Arabidopsis thaliana: one gene and its partner. The protein of the gene in region 2 interacts with the protein of the main gene of each other region in a biochemical or structural test. Each region holds a gene or a part of one and is shown on either strand. Other genes may lie near its edges.

The links. Proteins that work in one complex are often made in the same cells at the same time.
Region 1: the proteins of ICK6 (region 2) and RKP form a complex in vitro, tested with the Arabidopsis thaliana proteins (one study listed by BioGRID).

What each region holds. Positions count from the first base shown.
Region 1 is NC_003071.7:9,363,442-9,371,189, forward strand, and holds the start of RKP (uncharacterized protein), read right to left. Parts: upstream 6,021-7,748; 5' UTR 5,682-6,020; intron 5,503-5,681; 5' UTR 5,388-5,502; coding exon 3,903-5,387; intron 3,792-3,902; coding exon 2,985-3,791; intron 2,873-2,984; coding exon 2,712-2,872; intron 2,582-2,711; coding exon 2,443-2,581; intron 2,273-2,442; coding exon 2,189-2,272; intron 2,080-2,188; coding exon 1,798-2,079; intron 1,720-1,797; coding exon 1,588-1,719; intron 1,425-1,587; coding exon 1,225-1,424; intron 1,141-1,224; coding exon 927-1,140; intron 853-926; coding exon 505-852; 3' UTR 1-504. UniProt on the Arabidopsis thaliana protein: E3 ubiquitin-protein ligase that promotes the ubiquitination and proteasomal degradation of KRP1 and KRP2.
Region 2 is NC_003076.8:19,791,748-19,796,282, forward strand, and holds ICK6 (inhibitor/interactor with cyclin-dependent kinase), read right to left. Parts: upstream 2,662-4,535; 5' UTR 2,600-2,661; coding exon 2,169-2,599; intron 1,987-2,168; coding exon 1,960-1,986; intron 1,204-1,959; coding exon 1,009-1,203; intron 931-1,008; coding exon 861-930; 3' UTR 523-860; downstream 1-522. UniProt on the Arabidopsis thaliana protein: Binds and inhibits CYCD2-1/CDKA-1 complex kinase activity. May target specifically CDKA-1.

The DNA of each region.
Region 1 (7,748 bases), on a different chromosome or scaffold from region 2:
TCAATCAAAATAAACTACATAAACATACATTATGCAAAGAAATTTGAGAAAATTAAATAAAATACAACAAATAAAACTTATTGAACCAAAATTTTATCAGATTTTTTTAGTTTAATGAGATCCTATAAATTTGGATTTTGAGAGTATTAAGTGAACAAAAAAACAAGTGTAAGTGAACCTAATTACGAACCGGGTAACCGATTTACTGGTTTAACCCACCAAATCCGCTGTAATTCCAAAACACACTGTTGAGAAAAGTAAGAACCCAAGCGAAACAGAGAGCCTTTAAATAATTTCCATTTCATTCTCATATATACAAGAAAAAAGAGAGGCCTAGAGATCACAAGACCAGGTCTACAAAATTATCACAGACCTTTGTTTGTTTGTGTTTTTTCTTATTTATCCTATAAATCTATATAATCCTTCTTCCTTTGCTCCCATCCTAAAGATCTTTCCTTCTGTGTCTACTACATCAACAACCTGTAACCGCAACTAACCCGAGCTTCATGTGCTTCTTTTGTGACCATCATCGTCTTCTTCTTCTTCTTCTTCTTTATCTCTTATAACATCTATCACCGTAGCATTGCAGAAAAAACATCTCTGACAGTTGAGAAGATGTCTAGTTATGCAGCCATAACATGATCGATGTGAACACGGAGCAATCATTGCATTAGCCTCCCCCGCGTAGCAGATACAGCAAGTGTTGTCTTCTATATCTGTCGTGTCTTTGTTGAATGACTCTTCTTTTCTTTCGGGTTCTTGCGATGAAGCCCGGTTTATGAGATGGCTCAAGAAGTTCTCAAGCTGTCCAAGTTTCTTTACATAGGCATCATCCCCGCTTACACAACCGTCCTGAAAATGTTTTTGAAAAGCTGTGTCAGTAGGAGAAGCAAACGAGCAGAAACTAGATTTAAGAGCTTACGTACCCAATTATATTCCAAGAGATACTGAAACCCGTAATAGACTGTATCGGGACAGTCCATGCTTGCGAAAAGACCAATTACATCATGTTGTTGCTTTGGTTTTGAGTCTTCACTAGCCTCCAAGAGATTCAAGATTATACCAACCAAAGGAGCTAATAAGATCCCTCGGCTAACTTTCTCTGAAGGTTGTCCCTGCCGTCTAAGTGACCTGACAGATCTCAAAACAAGAAGAAAACAATATCAATTAAAAATTAGCGATTTCCAACAAAGTTAGAGCTATTTGGGATATTTTTGAACTTACAGATCAAAGAACTCGTCATCTACTGCTGAGGTCATGTGATTCAAGATGAAAAGAATCAACTCAGTGAGCCTACGAAGATTCGTGTCAGTCCCAGCAAGAAATGCTTGTGGCATTGCGTAAGTGCAGAATTCTAAGACCCTTGCGAGATTGCTTGAAAGCTCAAATATCACACAACATTTCCTTTGCTGAAACTCCATTACCTGCATAAAGACAAGACGAATCAAAAACCGGACAAAGAAGCAAATAGAGTACTACAAAAACTTGTAAGGGAAATGCAGAATAAGAACCACAATCATTCAGGGAAAACTATTCAATTACTACGAAAACTTAATCGATGAAAATGATCCAAGCTTATAATCTGACCTGATACTTTTCTTGCATTTCTCGCACCGAGACAGAAAATTCAGTGATGGTCCAGCTCAGTGTGTTGAATAGACGGTTAAGAAAAGTAGAAAGTAATTCACCATCATTGATACAAGCATCTCGTAGAAGCGCCTAGACGAAAAAGAAAATCAAAATCCAATATGTAGACTGAGGATCAGATAGGAACAAAGTCAAATCAATCTAACCAACCTGGAAAACAGTAGACGAAAACGAAGACTCTCCGTTCTTTAAAGAACTAAACCCAGAACCTTTGCAAAGACGAAGAAATATATTTGTGACAGGGATCCAAGATCTGTTGTCAAACGCTGCCAGTAGTGCTGCAGGCATGTGTCGAGTAGCTGCCTCATTGTTCTCGAAAGCTTCCAAGTACTCTTTGTACTGTACCAGGACGGATATTGACTGGAGAAGTAGATCTTTAAGATCTGTATTCGATATCCTTGAATCGTTGAAGTGTGTAACTACGAAAGTGATCTGGAAACCCAAGAATTTGCAATGACCATGTTAGAGCTAATCAACTAACAGTCAGCCATGAGGAAAAATAACAGACAAAAAAGATTGTGTGATAAGAGTTTAGGCATACAAATGATGAAAGTCCTTGTTTGATGAATGTTGTTGATGGGACAAACGGAGGATCGCTCTTGCGAAGCACATGGAAACAGTCTACCTGAGGAAATAATCAAAGAGATTGTAAACTTAGGGATTTCATTGAGAAACAGAGAAAACGCAACAGAATAAGTTGTTGGAAGATCTACTAACTTTGATCAAAGAGAAACTGAAACATGTTCATTTGACATTTATATCAAGAAGTACCAGAAATGTGCAAAAGCTGTTTACCAAAGATTCAAGGTAGAACTCTGGAATATAAACAAACACAGAATCCATTTTGCTGAGAACCAGAAGTAGCTGTACAACCCACATGCACAATGCATACATTCCCCTTTGCTTCCATCGAGAGAACAATGAGATGCGGAACCTGACAAAATGATTCAGAATGAGGGCAAAAATATAGATTGTAATGTTGCCTCACATGAATCATAACTGAAACCTCTTCACTACACCCTCCTTCTGGAGTTAACGCAATCCATGAGTTAAGTGAAACTTACCATGCGGAATGTCTAACACAGTCCATCACGTCTTCTTTGTAGTTGTTGCGAGCTTCCTTCAAGCGCTTTATTTGGTCACAAGAAGCCCGTTCTCTTATCTGTTTATCAGTTTCTTCAAGAAGTGATATTGATTGCGATTGGTGAGACATGTAATATGATGCCTAAGAAAAGCAGAAAGAGAACCTATCAGCCTCTCAAGCTTATTCAGGTTGTGGTATGTATCGTACAAAAAATACAACAAAATCTAATTAAGACGGGAATAATTAAAATTACCTGCTTAAAATTTGGAGCAACAGCAATATGGTATAATAGCAATAGAGCATCCAATAGTTCTTCTTCGCTTAGTATAGCAGATGAGATTCTACTCTCTTGAAGTGCAGTCCGCATAAATCTTACTGGACGATAACCAAAGTCAGGGTCAGACTGATTACTTGTGCTAGGTTTGTCGTCTATTTCTTCACTGAAACTTCCAGCACTACATTCTGCAGCAACATGAGAGGATCTCTCAGGAATGGAACTGCATCGACCACGAGAACTTTGAGCAGTATTTTTTCCTCGATCCTTCAAGGATTTAGTAAGATCGGTATCATAAGCTAAGCAACAGCATGGCTTTTGCTCAGTCGCGTGAGTTACTCTATTCTGTTCATCATCCATACAACCTTCTTCCCACCGCATTATTTCTTCTTCTTGATCATCTGTGGGGTAGGACTTCGATATATGACTAAATAGCCCGCCAAGCCTAGTAATATCAGCGCGATGTGGATCATTTTTAAGAAACAAACTCAATGGAAACTTCTGCTGACCACCTCTGTGAAGAAAACCAACATTGTGATGGACGGCTTCACTACTCTTCAGCATTGCAAAACCTTCTGACAAGAAGTGGAGTATAACTGAGAACAAAGAGACAAGAACCGAATTGCGTGTAACTCCAGAAGGGGCCAGAGTCCTATCTGCGCCTCTGTTCTTCAATAAAAGGTTCTGTAGGAATCCCCTGAAAGCTGAACCAGGAAGCTGGGGAGGTGATACAGGTGGTATGAATTGTATGACCAAGAGACAGAGGTTCCTCTGCTTCTCCTCAATCTGAATTCCAAGAGAAAGAATTACTTAATTATGTTCCTCAGATTCCAGAGGAGACTTATGCCAGCGGTTATTTATAGAAAAATAAAATAAGTCAGAAATAACCTATCATACCTTGTTAATGGCTTCAGAGAGAGCGGAGATCGTAAATCCCATGCTACTCTCGTAGGATATATCTTCAGAGGATCCAGGCCACCAAACAACAGGCATTAAGTGCTGTAAGTCATGCTTGTTGGAACTCCTGCATGACAAGAAACCTTCAAACAAAAACTCGAAATGCAAAGATCTCCACCATTGTACCATCAATTCTTCCCGTTTAAACAAATGACAAGCCAGCGCCAGATAGGGATAAGGTCCGGAGTATGGACACTCGGTTAAAATCAGTGTCGCTGTTTTGCAGCCACAAGCCAGAGCGTTTACTACATGCTCAAAGATCAAATGAGATTGTGGGAACTCAAGAAACACATCAAGAACTTTGTCTAAACTTGACGAATCATGCGGTGCTTGAGTTCTGAAAGTCTCCAAGAGGAATGACAGAAATGCACCCCGTCCTAAGTACTCCGCCAACAAAGGGTCTTGCTCAAGTATATAAAAGAACTCATCACATATGGCAGACGAAACAGGGCAAAAGAGTTCTTCGACTGAGGCAAATCTCCTCAGTCGACTTAATGTATCAGCCAATGAGCGGTCTGGCCTATCCAGCAGTCTTGAGAAGCATCGTAGTAGCTCTGTTGCAAATGAAAATCGAGTTGGAGCTTCTTGAAGAGGTTGGAAACCGTCAACAGGGTACTTAAACGGGTAAGCGCCGAAATTTAACTCGCATCTCTCACCTTGGGAGAGAGATATAGCAGGGTAATACCCAAATCCAGGTCCAAGTTTTCTAATACCAGTAAATGCAGCCCCGAGGGAGACACCATTCCTGTAGAAGTAAATCTCATCACAGTTCAAATCTATGCAGCAACCGATGACATCCCCAGCAACCCATGATTGACCATAAGGTTCAGCTTCCTTGTTCCATTTGCTTACCCTTCGACCATCAAAAGCATATGAATCATCAGCATCACCCACACCTTTCTGGTCAGTGAAAGGGCAAGCAAGTGTTGCCCATCCAAGTTGTTGAATTCCCGAGGTCTCTAAAGCGACTTCATACATCCATTTTCCTTTCCAAATACAAGCATTAGCCCTGGCGCTACTGAAAAGTGCTAAGCTCTCCAATACAAGAGGTGGCTTCACAATCCTGATATCACCACATATGCTAAACTCTTCAAGGCCAACAATAGGAGGTCCAACACCATGATGAACTACACTGATTCCTTCTCTCTGACTAACTGAAACATCCAAATCACCATGAAGCTTCGAGAACTGATTCTTAATCACAGCTCTAATCAAGCTACTGTCTACTTGACCATCCAATGGACCAACCGACTTTTCTGCTAAACCAAATATGAATTCGATAGTCCGTTCTAAAGGCCGGTGACCAGAATAATCAAAATGTGGAACAATACGAGCTTTCGAGGAATTTTCTTTAGCATCTTCACCATTCAGTAAAACAGCCAAACCAGATGAAATCATACCAACCCGTAGGCTGTCTTCAGCCATATGGCATTGATTGTGAACCAAACGCGCTTTCAACACAACCAATTACAAGAGAACCAAAGTCTGTATCTATTCAACGAGACCTCATCAGAGACAATTCGAAAATGATTCAGAAAAGCTGTGAAGAGAAGAAGAACAAAAAAAAAAGTAGCATAAGTTTCCAAAAATCAATACTTGAATCAAAAAGCTTTCAAATTTATGTGATGAACAGGGATTAACAAAAAGAGAAAGCTATTCAATTTCAATCAATTAGAAAGAAAAAAACACCAAAATCAGAACGGAAAATTCGAAACTCACCGGAGAAATTGACATGAAAAGCGATTAACCCAGAAGCCAAAATCAATCAATACCCAGATTCTTCAAACCAAAGACGGCGGACTTGTGCTAGGGTTTTTCAAATAAATTAAACAGGAGAAGACTTTTCGCTTCTTTTTTTTTCTTCTTCTTCCTCGAAGAGAGAGAGAGAGAGAGATTTTGCGCCCAATATTTTTGGGGGAACAGAGAAGAAGAATTGAAGAAAGAGAGAGAGAGGAATCAGAAGACCGGTGGCTAACACCGAACGAGCCAATGGATCATGTGGCGTGTGGGTTTTTTACCGACACGTGTCGGTGTCGATGACGTGGCTGATGACGTATTATATCGACGGTCTGGTCTGGTAACTTTTATAGAAGGAGAAGGAGGAAAGTTTACGATGCGGACGGTCTTACGTTTATTTTGACACGTGGCGTAGTAGATGTTAACGTGTTCTTAAATCAAATTACAAAATTACAAAAAGTAAACAACGCTTTTTAATTTTTCTCCTTCTGTTTTCTTTTTTAGTGTTAACATTATGAGATTTGTTTTACTGAAGATATTTCCTGTTATTTGGATTAATCAAAAATAACAAAAAAAAAGGTGCTGTAAAACTTAGCAATTTAAAGGTAAAGTTAAAAGAATGTTAGTATCACCACTAACTAAAGAAAAAATCACAAAAATAATATGGTATTGTTTGAATATTCTTTTTTTTTTCATTTTAGTGTTAGTATTATGAGATTTTCGTGTAAAATTTTTGCTAAAAACATTGTTAAAAAAAATTAGTTTTGTTTATCGCTTTTAAATAGTTATTATTTTTAGTTTAAAAAAAAAAAATATTATTGTTTATTATCAAAGATGATTTGGTTTCGACTACCCGTGAAATTTTCGAATGTGATTACAGTTGTCGAATAGCGTATTTACTGTATTTTATTTAAGTGGATCTAAAATATGATATAATTATGATTAATCTAAAAAGAAATGTAAATTTAAGTTATATATCACTTTTGTAAATAATTTCTCTCGGAATTATTTTTTTTAAGTCCTTAATAATATCTTATGACAAAAAAAAAAATATGAATCTAGTTATCAGGTTTCCTTGGTAAAGAAAAATTTAGATGTAAGTTTCCTATTTGTAGATTCTATAATCATAACGGGTTTCACAAACAATTATAATACTGGTATCATTCGTTGACAAGAACTAATAATAATCTGGAGTTGACTTAATTAGAAAACTTTATTTGTAAATCAATTGTCAAAAGCCATTCGTATATTCTTAATACATTATGCAAATTAAAGAAGAGTGTTACTATAATGTATGCACGAAAACTATTCAAGTGGATGTAAAGACGATTGAAATCGACGGAACGTGACGGAGCAGTTGTTGACAAGTCACCGGAGCTTTTGCAAACTTCCGATAGACACACGACCTTGTCAACGACCTGAGAGTATAAATAATTGAAAATATCAACTCGATCTCTAAACACACCACGTGGAAAGCTATGAGACCACTGTCGGCTAATGACTAATAAAAGAAGTATCGTGCACGTGTTCCACGTTGATCAACAGCCACTTCACTGGCTGATGTCTCTGTTATTCAGATAGTGACTTAAGACGGCATTATATTGTCTTCAAGGGAAATATTAAAACGCTGCGTTTCCGTGTGATGGAATAATTTTGCAACCGTTGCCACTTTTACTTTTGGGAATTTGGTTGAACAGCAACTTGTTTTTTTTTTTTTGGTAAATATTTTTGGTTGAACTTGTCATTCAATGTAGCAAAACTTAGTAAAAATGCTACAAAACATAAAGATTTTCAAATGTGCCAAACCTCAGCTCTATGGACGATTTCCCTGTTCTAACTATACTAAAATGCATAGTTTTGGTGTAGTGATTAACAAAAATATGTATGGAATATAATCATGATGATAATGATAATGGTAAGATTATGCTTTTACTTTTGATTAAAAGCTAGTGATATGATTTGCCTCTTAATTTGAGTAGATGATTTTCAATGTTTGGTACTATTTTCATTGTTTTAGTGGGAAGAAAACAAAGAGATTTGGTGTTCAAT
Region 2 (4,535 bases):
CGTGTACATACGTACACCATGTCCATATGTATAAATGTATAATATAATGAATGTATCTGAACGTTTCATGCATTCACTTTTTCACTTTTAGAGATTAAAGAAAAACATAGAACAATGATTGGGTTCGAGATAAGATTTCACAGTTTCATCACACTGGTTTTGCCAATTTCCAAGAAATGTAAAAAAAAAGATAAAACAACAGAGATCTTCTCAATGAACACTGTCTCATCTTTTTGTCAGTTTCTTGTTAATAATAATTTGATATTCAAGATTCAAAACACTCTTATCTCTTTACTAATTAGTACAAAATTCACCTTTGTGTTTGTACTTTTAACTCTGAACTTACATTACAGTATTTCAATGTAAACGTCAAAGTATTTACACACACATTCACGTGCGTCATAATTATGGTAAGAGAAGAAAAGGGACCAATCTTGTATAGTTGAAAGAAAAAGGATATGATTCAGATTTTTACACCTACCAAAATTCACACGTGAACCTCTCAATTGGGTCTCTTTCTTCTGCATCTGAATCATTTTTTTCACTATATGCCAAGCTTAAACATGTTCACACACATCCCTCTCAATCATCATCATTACATATAGCTTTGAATAAACATGAGAGATAGATAGAAAAACAAACACTTGAAAGAAACAGATGAGAAAATTTCACTAAGCATCTGAAGAAGATTAGTAGTACAAATGGTGTGAGGTTTTAAGGTCCCTAAGCTACTCTCAAACTTGTTCTCTAACCACATTATTACTTAAGATTACACGATTTCTGATGTTTGGTTAGTCTGTTAACTCCATCACATTCTCTAACTTCACACCATGTCTTTTGGAGCTGTTTCCTTTTGAACTTCATGGTTTGACTTGCACCCATTCGTAACGTCCGCTGAGGGGGATATCATTCACAATGTCGAAGTTGTACCTGAAGATTATTGAAAACACATGAGTGTTGTTCACCCTCTTCGTAATGACACAAAAATAAAATAAAGAATAAGCTTACTTCTCCATGAATAGCCTCTGTTGCTGCTGCTCTGCATATGCAAAGAACTCCTCCATTTCACTAGTGGTCGGGATCACGTTATCTTGTTCCCTTGTGTACTCTTTGGTTGCTCTGCACATCGACCTCGTGCTAGACCCTGGTGTAACCATGATCTCCATATCCTCAACAAAGTTACAAGGCGTGCTCTCCCTTGTGCTGCAGAAAAAAACACAGATAAAATAACTTCAATAACATTATCACCACAAAGACACTTAACCAAATCAAGAATCAAACCAAAACCAAACATCCAGAATAAAAAAGAGGCTTGGTTTAAGTAAACAACAAAAGCTAGAGACTTTCTAAGTAATATGGTCCCATAAGATAATAAATAACAAAGAGAAGGCAATCACCACATTGTCAACTAGCAGCAGGACGGTTACCCCAAAAAACAGAGGATCCTACAAAAGTATTCCCCAAGTATGCAAAAACCACTAGGTCCCATGAACATGACACCACAGTACTTGCATTACACTTATGAGGAAAGTCCCAATTCTCATATAATCTTACATATTAAAAGTTTCTGACCTTTATACAACAACCCACTTTTGTAAAAACGAAAACCATGTGTTTAAGTAAACCCCCAATAACCAAATCCCAATATTGTATACCCAATGTACAAATACTTCTTATGCCATTAGCCTAATAACAAGGAGAATCAACATGTTCTTAAACAAATTAAAATACACAAAAACAGATCAGAGTTTCACCAAATTTGTAACAAATAATGAAATACATATATAAAACGAAAATAGCTTTGACACATTCATTGATAATCTCTGCAATGAAGTACACATGGGACATACAGCAATAAATCAGATATAATGTAAATCTAACACCAAAAGAGACTTATACGGAGAAGTAGTAATAACAAAATTCAGTACATCACAAGAGAGTCAATTCATAAACAAAAACCAAACCAATAAGGGAAACATAAAAAACCTATTTTTCTCTTGTACTAAACTATTTTCATCCCCCAAAAAAAAAAAAATTGATTTGAAGCAAACAACAAAAGTTTCAGAGAAACCTAACTAAGATTCAAAACTATGTAAGACTCAAAACTAAGATTATTGGATAAGACAGAACACAAAAGTCGAATTGGTAATAAGAAAACATTAGGGCACAAAAAAAAAAAAAAAAAAACAACGAACCTGTGTCTTGATTCAAAACCGAGACTGTTTTCACCACAAGAAACTTGGACACTCACGAAATTGTCAAAACATTCATCTTCATTAGAGCTCTGAGCTACAGGAACCGAGTTAACCGAGTCAACGCGAGACCTGGAACCAGACTCTTTAATTCCCGATCTGTGAACTCTCGGCGGCTGTTTCGGTTCAATCAGCGAAGAGGGTTTCTCGAGACGGCGGCTACGGAGCTGAAGATAGCAAGAAGAGTCGTTAGGTAGAGCTGAATCAGCGGCGGAGGAATTAAGCCGCTTCAAGGCTAGGGTTTTAGCGGCTCTGGTTCGAACACCTGGACTTGGAGCTGTTGCTTTAGAGACTTCCATGACGCTGATATCGCCAGTTATCTTTGATTTCTTCATGTATTTCCCCATTTTTTGAGAGAGGGAAAAGAAGCTTGAAAGCGGAAAGAGAAAAATGAGAGGGAAAAGCTTTGAGGGAGGAGAAGAAGAGGGAAAGTGAGAAAATGGGAAAAAGGTTTTCGAGTTTTGTGGGGTTAAAATAAAACAAAGGAGAAGAAAAAAAAAGTTTACCTTTTTTATCTAATTGTCAAAAACAATATTATTATTATTATTATTTTTAAATAAAACCCCAAACTCATCATTATTATTTGTATTTTCCGTTGTGTTTTCACTTTTCATAGAATAATCGTCAGTTTTACATTTTTGATTTATTGATAATTTTTGTTGTCGAATAAATTTAAATTCATCATTTGACTAAATCTTTAACTTCTTAAAAATTAAACTGCTAATTAAATTCATCATTTGACTACGAATTTTCTATTAAATATAACGTGTATTGCATACGGCTTTTCTATTTTAAAATAAATTCTCATTAATATGATCGGTTTGTTGTTAAAAAAACAATTTTCATTTATTTAAATTTTATCAAATAATTTCATCATAAAAAGTATTGAATTTTTTTTATTGAAACCATATAAACTTAATAGTACATACTTTTAACATGTAACAACAAACAACTAGTTACATACATTCACATAGAATAAAAAATGTTTATACGAAAAATAAATTATTATTATGCACACGAATAAATATTCAACTTAAGTATTTAAACATAATATTTTTTCTTTGAAATTGACAGACTTTTTCCAAAAAATCGAGTCAACGGAAATTGCACCAAAAAATTGCTAAGTTTACAATTTTGGTATATAATGATTTTTATTTCTCAATTTAACAAAAATAAATCTAGGACTATTTTCCATAGTTAAATTACCCTTTGAACCAACGCGTATTACACACGGCTTTTTTTGTTGGATATACATGTTTCTTTTAAAATAATGATTTATTATTTATCATTTTTATCAAATATATTAATCATAAAAATTATTGAAATCATATAAAGTTAATAGCCCATACTTTTTCATTGTATATCAATAAATCAGTAGTTAAATACTTTCACATATAAGAGAAAATATTTATGTAAATTAGTAATTATTCTTACATTATGCACACTAATGAATATTAAACTTACATATTAAACATGATATTTTTAAAAATACATTGATAAGAATTGTTTCAAATTTCTAGTCAACTGACATTTCACAAAAAATCACCAATTTTTGTATATCATTATCTATATTTCTCGATTAAATAGAAAAAATCCGGGATTTTTTCTTTATAAAATTACCATGTGGACCCATAATTTATATATTTTCTATCTTTTAAAATCAATTAGTCAATCAATCATTATTACATACAAAAGTTTCACAATTTTAAGTTTTAACACGCATTGTACACGATAACATGGCTTCTACATCACATAAATATATGATCCGACAATAGTTTACAAAGAAGAAAATAAACAATTTCTTATTTACCTTAAAACATAAAATAATAAAAAATCAATATGATTTAATAAAACATGTTGATCGAAAATTCCATGGAGATTGTTGTAAAAACCCTAAAGAGACGTCTACATATACACATCAGCTACTAGTGATGATTGCTTCTTGTGATGAATTTTGATTCATTGGCATTTTATGTGGTATATGCAAAGAAAGGTATGATTTCAGTAATAAATTTTTGATCTAGGGACAATTTTCAATATTAATCCTCATTTGTTTGCTAACAACATTTATTATGCGGATATAATCAAAATGTATGTGACAATTGGGCCGCGCGAAATATAAAATACCAATCAAAACCTTTAGGAAGGAATCATCTGCAACATGTTACTACGGAGAAATGCAAGCTGGAACGAGGCAACAAAGATGAAGGTATGTATCCCACCATTATAAATTAAAATCAAATTATAATTCGGATTATACGTATCCGTAAATTCATTCTCTGG